Linked DNA regions of Caenorhabditis elegans. The protein of the gene in region 1 purifies or fractionates together with the protein of each later gene. This does not show direct contact. Each region holds a gene or a part of one and is shown on either strand. Other genes may lie near its edges. The genes, in order: spd-3 and faxc-1.

What was found.
Region 2: the proteins of spd-3 (region 1) and faxc-1 purify together in Caenorhabditis elegans (affinity purification with mass spectrometry, with the first as the bait; one study listed by BioGRID). This does not show direct contact.

The regions. Positions count from the first base shown.
Region 1 is NC_003282.8:6,760,653-6,765,720, reverse strand, and holds spd-3 (Spindle defective protein 3), read right to left. Parts: upstream 3,006-5,068; 5' UTR 2,924-3,005; coding exon 2,755-2,923; intron 2,705-2,754; coding exon 2,566-2,704; intron 2,137-2,565; coding exon 1,890-2,136; intron 1,621-1,889; coding exon 1,328-1,620; intron 1,285-1,327; coding exon 1,092-1,284; intron 1,049-1,091; coding exon 812-1,048; intron 767-811; coding exon 608-766; 3' UTR 521-607; downstream 1-520. Other genes in the region: usp-4 (Ubiquitin carboxyl-terminal hydrolase), read right to left, coding at 3,945-4,057, 4,104-4,246, 4,323-5,068. UniProt on the Caenorhabditis elegans protein: In the first mitotic division in embryos, required for mitotic spindle alignment and asymmetric cell division.
Region 2 is NC_003280.10:12,262,174-12,266,873, forward strand, and holds faxc-1 (GST N-terminal domain-containing protein), read left to right. Parts: upstream 1-2,018; 5' UTR 2,019-2,024; coding exon 2,025-2,171; intron 2,172-2,691; coding exon 2,692-3,159; intron 3,160-3,628; coding exon 3,629-3,823; 3' UTR 3,824-3,932; downstream 3,933-4,700. Other genes in the region: tric-1B.1 (Trimeric intracellular cation channel type 1B.1), read right to left, coding at 3,938-4,048.

The DNA.
Region 1 (5,068 bases):
ATCACAAAACTTCTACAGGACACAGTTTTCAAGTGGGGTGTTTATTATTGTACATTAAAAATGTCAAATGCTCCAATCGAAATTTCCTTTTTTCCGGGTCTTACAACGCATTAACCTGAAATTTACAAACTTTTCCTTTGTTTCATTCTGCATTTGTAAATCTTTATTTTTGATTTTCAAATATCAATGAAGATTTGTAGAGTTTTCAACAGTAGCAAAAAAACACAATATCACTGATATCAGTGTCTAGAAATGTACATAAATTTAAGACTAGAGTTTCTCAAATTTGTAAGCAGTGGAGCCGAGATCATTAAAAAGAGAATTATAAGCGAGACTGAAACTATTTGCTAATTTTACTGTGCTTATTATAACAAAAGCTTGAAACCGTAAAATTTTAAATTCCAAAAACATTCATATTCCACAAAACAGCAACATTTTTCATATAAAGCTCACAATAGATTGATCTTCAGTGTCTGCCAAAATGCATAAGCTGGAAAGTCAAATAAAAAAAGTCAGGAATCACAAAAAATGTTTATTAGCCTACGAGCTTCCCGTTGTGCATTCGACATAAAATACGGTGTTATATAAATTGAAAATCAATTAAAAATTATTCAATAATATCATCATCGACTCGTCTCAATTTCAAAGATTTCAGAAAGTCGTCATTATTAGCATCATGATGAATCCCTGCACTCATTTCAGCATCCTTCCTCCAGTCATATGGATCCGGATCTTCACCATCACCAGATGCTATCGCTTCAAATGTCTGTAAAATCCATCATAACTTCTTAATCTTAATATCAGCACATACTTCTTCATCTTCCTTCTGCTCCAATTGATGCTCATCAACTCCATAGAACTTTGCCAGTGCAGTCCTTTCTCGTTTCGCAAAATCTGTCCTCCGTGGCTCCAATACCATTTTCAGCTCTCCAAAAAGACTTGCTTCATGACAACGTCCTTCAGATCCATCTAGGAGAACATCTCGAGCTACTGCACTTTTTGAAGCAGATAGTTTATCAGCTTCTGATAAGGGAGTTCCTTCGAATACCTGAAACAAATAGTTTCCTGACGGAAAATAAAATAATATTTACCATATCTATATCAGTCCTTTCTCCTGTGCCCTTCTCGATAACGATCACTTCTGGATTCTTTTGATCTTGATTTTTCACCTCTACATCAATTTTCTTCACAGGTTGTGGAAATGCTGGTTCAGCCTTGACGACAAGAAAAGTTTTATGTAATGCTGATTCAACTTCTGATTGAGTAACACTTTCAGATTCCAATCTAAAAAAACAGTAATTTATATTTCAATTTTAACCTTTTCAACCTTTCCAAAATAGCTTCTAGTGCAAGTGCAGTTTGTTGCTTCCATCCCAATTCTAATAAAGATTTATTTTTCATTTTTCCGTCCATTTTTCTTTCATTTCTCGAAAGTTTTGTTTCAGTCTTCAATGCAAGTCTTTCAACAGATTCCAAATTGTACATCAATTCTTGAAGACGTCCCAAAGTTTCAAAAAATTTTGAAACTTTTTTTGACTCGAATACGGGCGAATTCAGAAAATTGAGGATCACAACACGGGAATATTCACTTGCATGAAGTTTGAATATCGATATCAATGTCTGAAATTTTTATTCAAATTCAAAATTTCTCACTAGCTGGTAGTGAGAAAGTGATTTTTTCTTAAATGCGAAATCATGTATTTGGGTCTGAAACGATTGAAACTTTTCAGCCACTCACGAGTACGGTCGATTTTCTTTTTCTCTGAATTCTGTCTTGATTTTAAATGCATTAAATTTTTTTTGTAATAATTTGTATGGTAACTAAAAAATTTAAATGTGTCAAGACCCAAAAACGCAATTTAACTTTTTTAAAAAATTATCTGAAATACCTCAAAAACTTGTTCAAAATCCATTTTATCATTATCTCCTTCTTGAATTTCCTCAATTTTCAGTAATTGTGAATCTACAGTACTCCTTGAAATGATTTCTCGAATCTCATCAGTATATAAATCCTGCCACGTGGTACCATTATTCAGTGATTTCGTCTCTTCTGTGAGACATTCAATGGCTGAAACTGTAAGACGACAAGCACGAAGAATCGATGGATGACGATGACGTGGCATGCACATTGAGATACTGGAAAACTTCTGATTTGTTTAAATGAAATGATTACTTTTACACTCTCATCCGAATTATTATTACAGGTACACAATATTCTGAGAACGCGTATTGCGCAGTATAAAGGACGCGCAAAATATCTAGTAGCGAAAACTACAGTAGTTGTTTAAATGACTACTGTAGCGCTTGTGTCGATTTACGGGCTCGATTTTCGTATTGATTTAAAATTATTCATTTATCTGAAGAATATTAAATTTGAGAAAATAAAATATGATACAATTTTACGCAGGAAAATGGAATATCGCTGTCTCTATTCAAAAATCGAGCACGCAAATCTTCACCATGGCTACTGTAGTCATTTGAAGAATTACTGTAGTTTTCGCTTCGAGATATTTTGCGGGTCATATATAAATACTCAGAATTTTGTATTCTCGTAATAATAAGTACCTAAAGAAAATTTGTCTTCTTTTCCGTAGAGCTGATCTTGTTTTATTCATTTGTAGAATAAGTTTTCGAACAGTTTTCACTCTCTTCTTAAACCATAAATATCCGCAAGTAATTGTGCCACCAGCAGTCAGAGCAAGTCCTTAAATATTAATCATTTATTTTTAATTTGATAATCAGCGTCTCATTAACCTGCTTCAATTGCTGGTATTTTCCAATCAATTTTTCCAGATATATACAAAGCTACAGTAGCCCCACCAATTGCGATTACTGTCGATGACACTAACCATCTGAAACTACTTGAACCATCTTCAAGTTCCTGATGTTCTAAAATCTTTTCTTCGACTGTCATTTGATCCATCTCTTCGAAAACTCGGTCTGAATCGAGAAAAACAAAAATCCGCCGTGAAAGCCATGACGAAAATGACATATAAAGTTTTTATCTGAAAATCTATTTTTGAAGTTTTAATTGAAAGAAAACGATGACTTTAAGATAAAATGTGTTCCGATGGATCGATTTCATGCTGTTTGTATGAATTAAACAATTTTCAGAAAGAAAGCAATTCATCATTTGAAATGGTTTCCAAAAAACGGAAACAACTCAGGATTAAAAATATTTAGGGACCGGAAGAGACAGACAAAAATACCACGAAAAAAAATTAACGTAGCACATAATCCGATAAAATTGATAGAATTAGGAAACTACTAAACATGACATTTTCAAACGGGATTTCGAGAAAAAAAGAAAAATGGTTCAGTGTGAAACATACTGATTAATAATTAAGATGGGAAGCACATAGGCTTAAATCGTTGAAAATGATTTTAAAAAAAGAAAGGCTAGGATGGGTAAAACGACATCAGAAACGAATTAAAAGTAGAATAACCTATAGAGACACACAAACACCGTATCGTTAGAAGATTTTAGAAGAGATTTGGAGGAAGAGATAGAAAAAATAAGATACCACAAATAATACGCGAAAATATCTCCATAAATTTGATTGGACGAATATGAAAACATTCGAGTAAATTAAAAGTGAGAAATCACAGAAGCGAATAAGCATATGAAAAACGGGGGGCAAAAGGGAAACCATGGAACTCCATAGAAAATGGTTCAGACACATGAAAAAATGAATGTGAGAAAGACACTAAAAACACACAAAATAAAATGATTGGCGGTGAAAAATAATTCGAGCAAATGGGGGATAAAGCTCAAACTGAAATGGAGCGAAGCGAGGAAAGAACACCGCCGCGATGTTACTGGGAGAATCGTTTCCTACCCGACAAAAATGTTCAAATTTGTACCAGAAACTACGCACAAGCACATCTTTCAAACATTTTACTTTTCATAACGAAAACTTGGACATTTTTGTCGGAGGACGCCTTCAATCTTCCTCCATCTCCATATTTTCGTCAACTTGATGGCGAGACGATGAAGCTGATGATGTTGCAGATGAAATTGTTGGAGCAGCTCCTCTTTTCGGTCGACTATGAAGAGCTGAAAATATTACAGTTTAATAAAAACTTGAATTTTTGGAACCTACATTCAGATACTGCTGATGGCTCAATCGGTTTTCCATTTGAATCCAATTTGCGTCTTCGGTATACAAGAATGTAGGGATCGCTCGACTCATAGGGTTCAGCTGGAGGATATGTCGGATTTGCTGAGGAATCGTTGAAATCAAACCTGAAAGTCGAGTCAAATAAAAATGTTTTAAAATTAGATTCACTATCTAAAAGAAGGTGCATTTTCAAAAACCTACCATTTCTGTTCCCTGTCGTTGTAGCCTATGGCAGTGTAATGACCTCCACTCAAGGATCCATAGTGACGTGATACGGCAATAAGGTCGTAGATCGCTTTCTCGTGATTCGGATTGGCAACTTTGTCGGTAAGATCCAACCCACGAACAGGAATCACAACCTCCCATGTCAGCTTCTCACGAGACCACTTGGTGTATTGGAAACGTTTCAAGTGGAGAATGAGAATCTCCGGAAGCTTCCACAGAGCTAATTGCTTCGTGGCTCGCTCGTGTTTCTTGCATTGAGGACAGTACCACGAATCCTGTTCTCCGAGTTGTTCTTTCGTTGTGAACCAGTCCAGAGTCTCTTGCAAAAGAACTTTCCGACGAGTAGAAACGGTCATCTCGCGTTCTATCAACTCATTTCCCTTGTATTGATTGAAAATCTTGAGATCCTTCCATTGGAAAACGATTTGTAGGAAGTTACTGTAAATGTCATGAGAATTTTCATCAGGGAACGGGATTGGATCGTCCGTTGGTGGGATCGGAAGAGAAGCTGTTGATCCAGGCGGTCCGACAAACAACTTATATGGTTCTCGTTCATCGGCAGAGTTGCTTCCGCTCATCGAATCGTCATCATTGGAATTTCCACCTCCGAGTTCAGCGACAGCCTTTGGATTTATGAAGAAATGTTTTGTAGTAGAAAATACATGGTCATTCAGGAATCCACGAGTCAATGGGTAGCCAGTTGGCAGAGAATAGATCATTGG
Region 2 (4,700 bases), on another chromosome or scaffold:
TCGTAATATGACATCCCGGCATTACGTGGTTAGGTACATTTGGTAAAACTACCTTAAAGGTACCTACATAAATCGAGTTGAAATCGCCAGATAATTAACTTGAATACCGAAAATTAGACGGTGATTTCAAAAAAGTTAGTTTCCAGTCGCTGACAAATTTCAGTCAAATTTCAAATTTAATTAGGTCATTTTTGAGCCGCCATAACTTTTTTTGAGCAGTTTCCAAGAATTGTCATTATGAAATTCAGGGTGTTTTCAGACAATTTCAAGTCTAATAAATCAATAAATTGCTCATTGTTGTTGTTCTGTTTCGTAGGAAAATCGTGCTTCTTCCTGTGAAATTCTCGGCAAAATCGAATAAAATTCCTTTGTTCCAATTTTTTTTGTTTTCAAAACTTGTCAATTCCGAAACCCCAATTTTTCAATAAATGAATAAATCATCATGATCACCAATGTAAACCGGAATCCCCTTCCCAGTACCATCCATCAAACTTCCAATTCACTGAACACCGATACACCTTCTCTCTCTCATTACACTTTGCCTATTCACCCACAAGAACCTTGGCAATGTGCCAAGTCGGTTGGAGAGAGGTTACCCGCTATCACTCGACCAGATCGACCTTCAGGCGGTGGCGGTGGCGGGAAGGAGGAGGTCATATTTGTTAGGTTCGCCTAAACTGTCATATAGTTTCTCTCTCTCTCTCTCTTGACTCCTTTTTCGTTTTGTTTTGTCTCTTGTTGCTGCTGCAGCAGCTAACCGGCGCTTTTATGGGTGCACCTACAAATCAAACATGACTAATCGCTTTCGTTATTGTCTTCATTGTTATGATTGGTTTGGAAATTACTTTTTTTCCCCCAAAATTTGCTTTTTTAACTTCTCTTCAATGCTCCTTTATGATAGGTTTGAAAATTCCTTCTCGATGATTGTTCACTTTTTCGGAAAAAGTTCTTCTTTACCAATTGGCAAGTTTTTTTCGGCAAAAAAAAGTGGTGGCCGAGTTTTCACTCTTCCATCTCCATGGTACCAGAGAGTCCTATTTTGGTTTGATCTACGTCGATCTACAAAAAAATGCGGAAACTGATTTCGCATGGTTAAAGGTGGACTAACGGTTCGGACGATTTTGAACGTATACACAAAATGAGCACAAATGAACGAATTTCGTAATGAAACTGCTCAAAAATTTTCAAAAATGTTTTATGGTGGTTCAAAATTTTGAAAAAATTACACTGATTTTAGCTAAAATCTCGAATTTTGCCTATTTTTTGGTGTCACATCGGTCCGAAGTTGACTTTTTCGGAATTATCATCCTTTATTGCATATTTCGGTAGTTTATCTCATTTAATCTCGTCGATTAAGGTACATTTAAAGCCGATAGGTAACCAATTTTGATGATTTTTGGTTACCTATCGGCTTTAAATGTATTTTAATCAACGAAATTAAATAAGATAAACTACTAAAATATGCAATAAAGGATGATAATTCCGAAAAAGTCAACTTCGGACCGATGTGACACCAAAAAATAGGCAAAATTCGAGATTTTAGCTAAAATCAGTGGAATTTTTCGAAATTTTGAACCGCCATAAAAAAAATATTTTGAACAATTTTTGAGCAGTTTCATTACGAAATTATTTCATTTGAGCTCATTTTGGGTCTATACGTTCAAAATCGTCCGAACCGTTAGTCCTCCTTTAAGAACGTGCTGACGTCACATTTTATTAGGGCAAAAAAATCCCGCATTTTTTTTGTAGATCAAACCGTAGCATTGCACCACATTTTCGTGCTCAATTAGAAATTTTCACTTCTCTGGGACAACCGTATTTTGATTTGGAAATTGAAACATTTCCAAATTGAGATAATTGATTTTCTCTCGAAATTGAGTGTTTTATTGATCCTTCCTTCCTTCCTATACAGAAAAATGCTTCAAATTCCTCTCTCTATCTGTCATCATTATCATCTCTCATTCCGCTGTCAATAATCACATTCACATCGTCCAGATCAATTTTGATTCTAATTCAAGGTGACGATGCCATCGACCAACTTGACGAAACGCGACTGGGAGAAGGATCACGTGTACTTGGTGCAGTTTCCGAGAGCCGGATGCATTCCATCGCCGTCTCCGTACGCGTTCAAGGTGGAGACGTTCTTGCGTGTCGCCGATATTCCGTACACGGTAAGTGAGGGCAAAACAAGAAAAGTCGAAAATTCACGGTTTGATCTACAAAAATGCGGGGATTTTTCGCCCTAATAAAATGTGACGTCAGCAAGTTCCTAACCATGCGAAATCAGTTAAGAACTCTGCGTTTCATTTTCCCGCATTTTTTGAAGATCTACGTAGATCAAGCCGAAATGAGACACTCTGATATTACGTGGAAAAATCGACAATTTAACGTGACAGAGTGTCCCATTTTGGTTTGATCTACGTAGATCACGAGAATTGCGGGAGAAGAGACGCAGCAGACTTCTCAACTGATTTCGCATGGTTAAAAACGTGCTGACGTCACATTTTGGGGGGGGGGGGGGGGGAATTCCCGCATTTTTTGTAGATCAAGTGTCAATTCGGTCTTTAGAAACCCATTTAAGATCCAACTTAGAATTGAATAAATTTCAAAAATTCGGCTTTTGCATCAGCTATTGCTTTTTTGCTGAGCTCTCCTAGCCTTCCTGACGGCGTTAAACCCATCAACTTTCAGAACATCAACAACGAGTTCAAAAAGATGTCGGCTCGCGGTCAAATCCCATTCATCGAGCTGAACGGTCGCCAGCACGCTGACAGCACCATCATCATCGACAATCTGACCGAGCACTTCCACAAGTCGGATCTCGAGGATCTCTCCGCTTCCGACAAGGCCATCGCGCGAGCATTCTTCGCACTTCTCGAGCATCATCTGTGCTGGGTGAGCTTGTACTCTCGCGGTCAGGACTTTGGATGGCTAGCCACTGACACCGGATTCGGACGTTTGTTGACCGGAATCAAGGGGTTCGCATTCAAGAACTTTATCGTCAAAAGCTTCACGAAAAAGGTTCGCGGACGTGCTGCCGCTCAAGGAATGGGAACTTTCTCCAGGGAGGAGGTGTTGGATCAGGCGAAGAAGGACTTGGACGCCATTTCGACACAGTTGGGCGATAAGCCGTATCTCTTCGGAAGCAGCATCAAGACGGTGAGTGATTAGGCTTGGCAGGTTCTGGCTGTCCCATTACGGTTTGATCTACGGAAAATGCGGGGGAATATTTCGCCAAAGAAAAATGTGACGTCAGCACGTTCTTAACCATGCGAAATCAGTGGAGAACTCTGCGTCTCTTCTCCTGCATTTTTTGTAGATCTATGTAGATCAAGCCGAAATGAGACACTTTGACACCACCTGAGTAGAACGGAGTACTTCATTTCAAGGATGGACGTTAAAAATGGATCCCGTGTCCTAGAGATGATCGGAAAACTTTTCCGATTTCTGGTGTAAACTCGAGCATCCAGGTGGTTTGATCTACGTAGATCTACAAAAAAACTGCGGGAGAAGAGACGCTTTCGTATCGTTAAGAACGTGCCGACACCACATAGTTTTGGGCAAAAAATTCCCGCACTTTTTGTAGATCAAACCGTAATGGGACAGATTACTAAGCTTCAAATTCCAGATCGATGTGACCGCATTTGCTCATCTCGCCGAGCTCATCTACACACCACAATTCAGCCCGGAAATCCGTGCCTACATCGACGAGAAGGTTCCGAATGTGATGGAATATGTGATCCGTATCAAGGAGAAGTATTGGCCAGATTGGGAGGAGACCACGAATACGATGAATATGGCAACGGTGTGGAAGAAGGCATAATCACTTTTTTTTTTGATTTTATTAATCCCAATTACCAAAAAAAAAAACCAAAGTTCACCAAAGAATCTATCATTCCGAATTATTTGAATAAAGTTTGAAAATTATGAAACTAACCAACAGATAATGCGCGACATCAAAGTAGGGATACATCTTGAGCCGGTGCAATTGAGCACCGGCGTCGAGAAGAATCTCCTGATCGAGCTGAAAACTCTCCGGCACCACCATCGTTTGAGCAGGTCGTCGGCCTGAAAATGTGATGTAGAATTTGGGTGGATATCCGAAATTTGTCAATTGGAAGGAAAAATTGTTTTTTTTTTTCGTAAAAAATCGGAAAAAACGTTGATCTGGAAAATTCAAAATTTATTTTTTTTTTTGGCAAAATTAAAAATCATTTTATGAAAATGTAAAAGATTCTATTAATTTTTTTCAGAAAATTCGATTTTTTACAAATTTTTTTTTGAAATAAATGACAGAAAAGTCTCAATACACGTGGTGTCAGAGTGTCTCATTTCGGCTTGATCTCCGTTGATCTACAAAAAATGCGGGAGAAGAGACGCAGAGTTTTCAACTGATTTCGCATGGTTAAGAACGTGCTGACGTCACATTTTTTTGGGACAAAATTCCTGCATTTTTTGTAGATCAAACCGTAATAGGACAGCCTGGCACCACGTGTCAATTTTTCTAAAAATTCTTTTTTTTATTAATTTTGCAACAAAAAAATCAAATTCATTGTGATTTTTTGGTTTTCCATTTGTAATTTGAATAAATAATTTAAATTACAGAAGGGAAACCGATAAAATTTGGCGGAAAAGTGGCAAAAACCCTTCTAACGTTTTTTGGCAAATTAAAAAAAAATTTTTACATTTTTTTTCCAAAA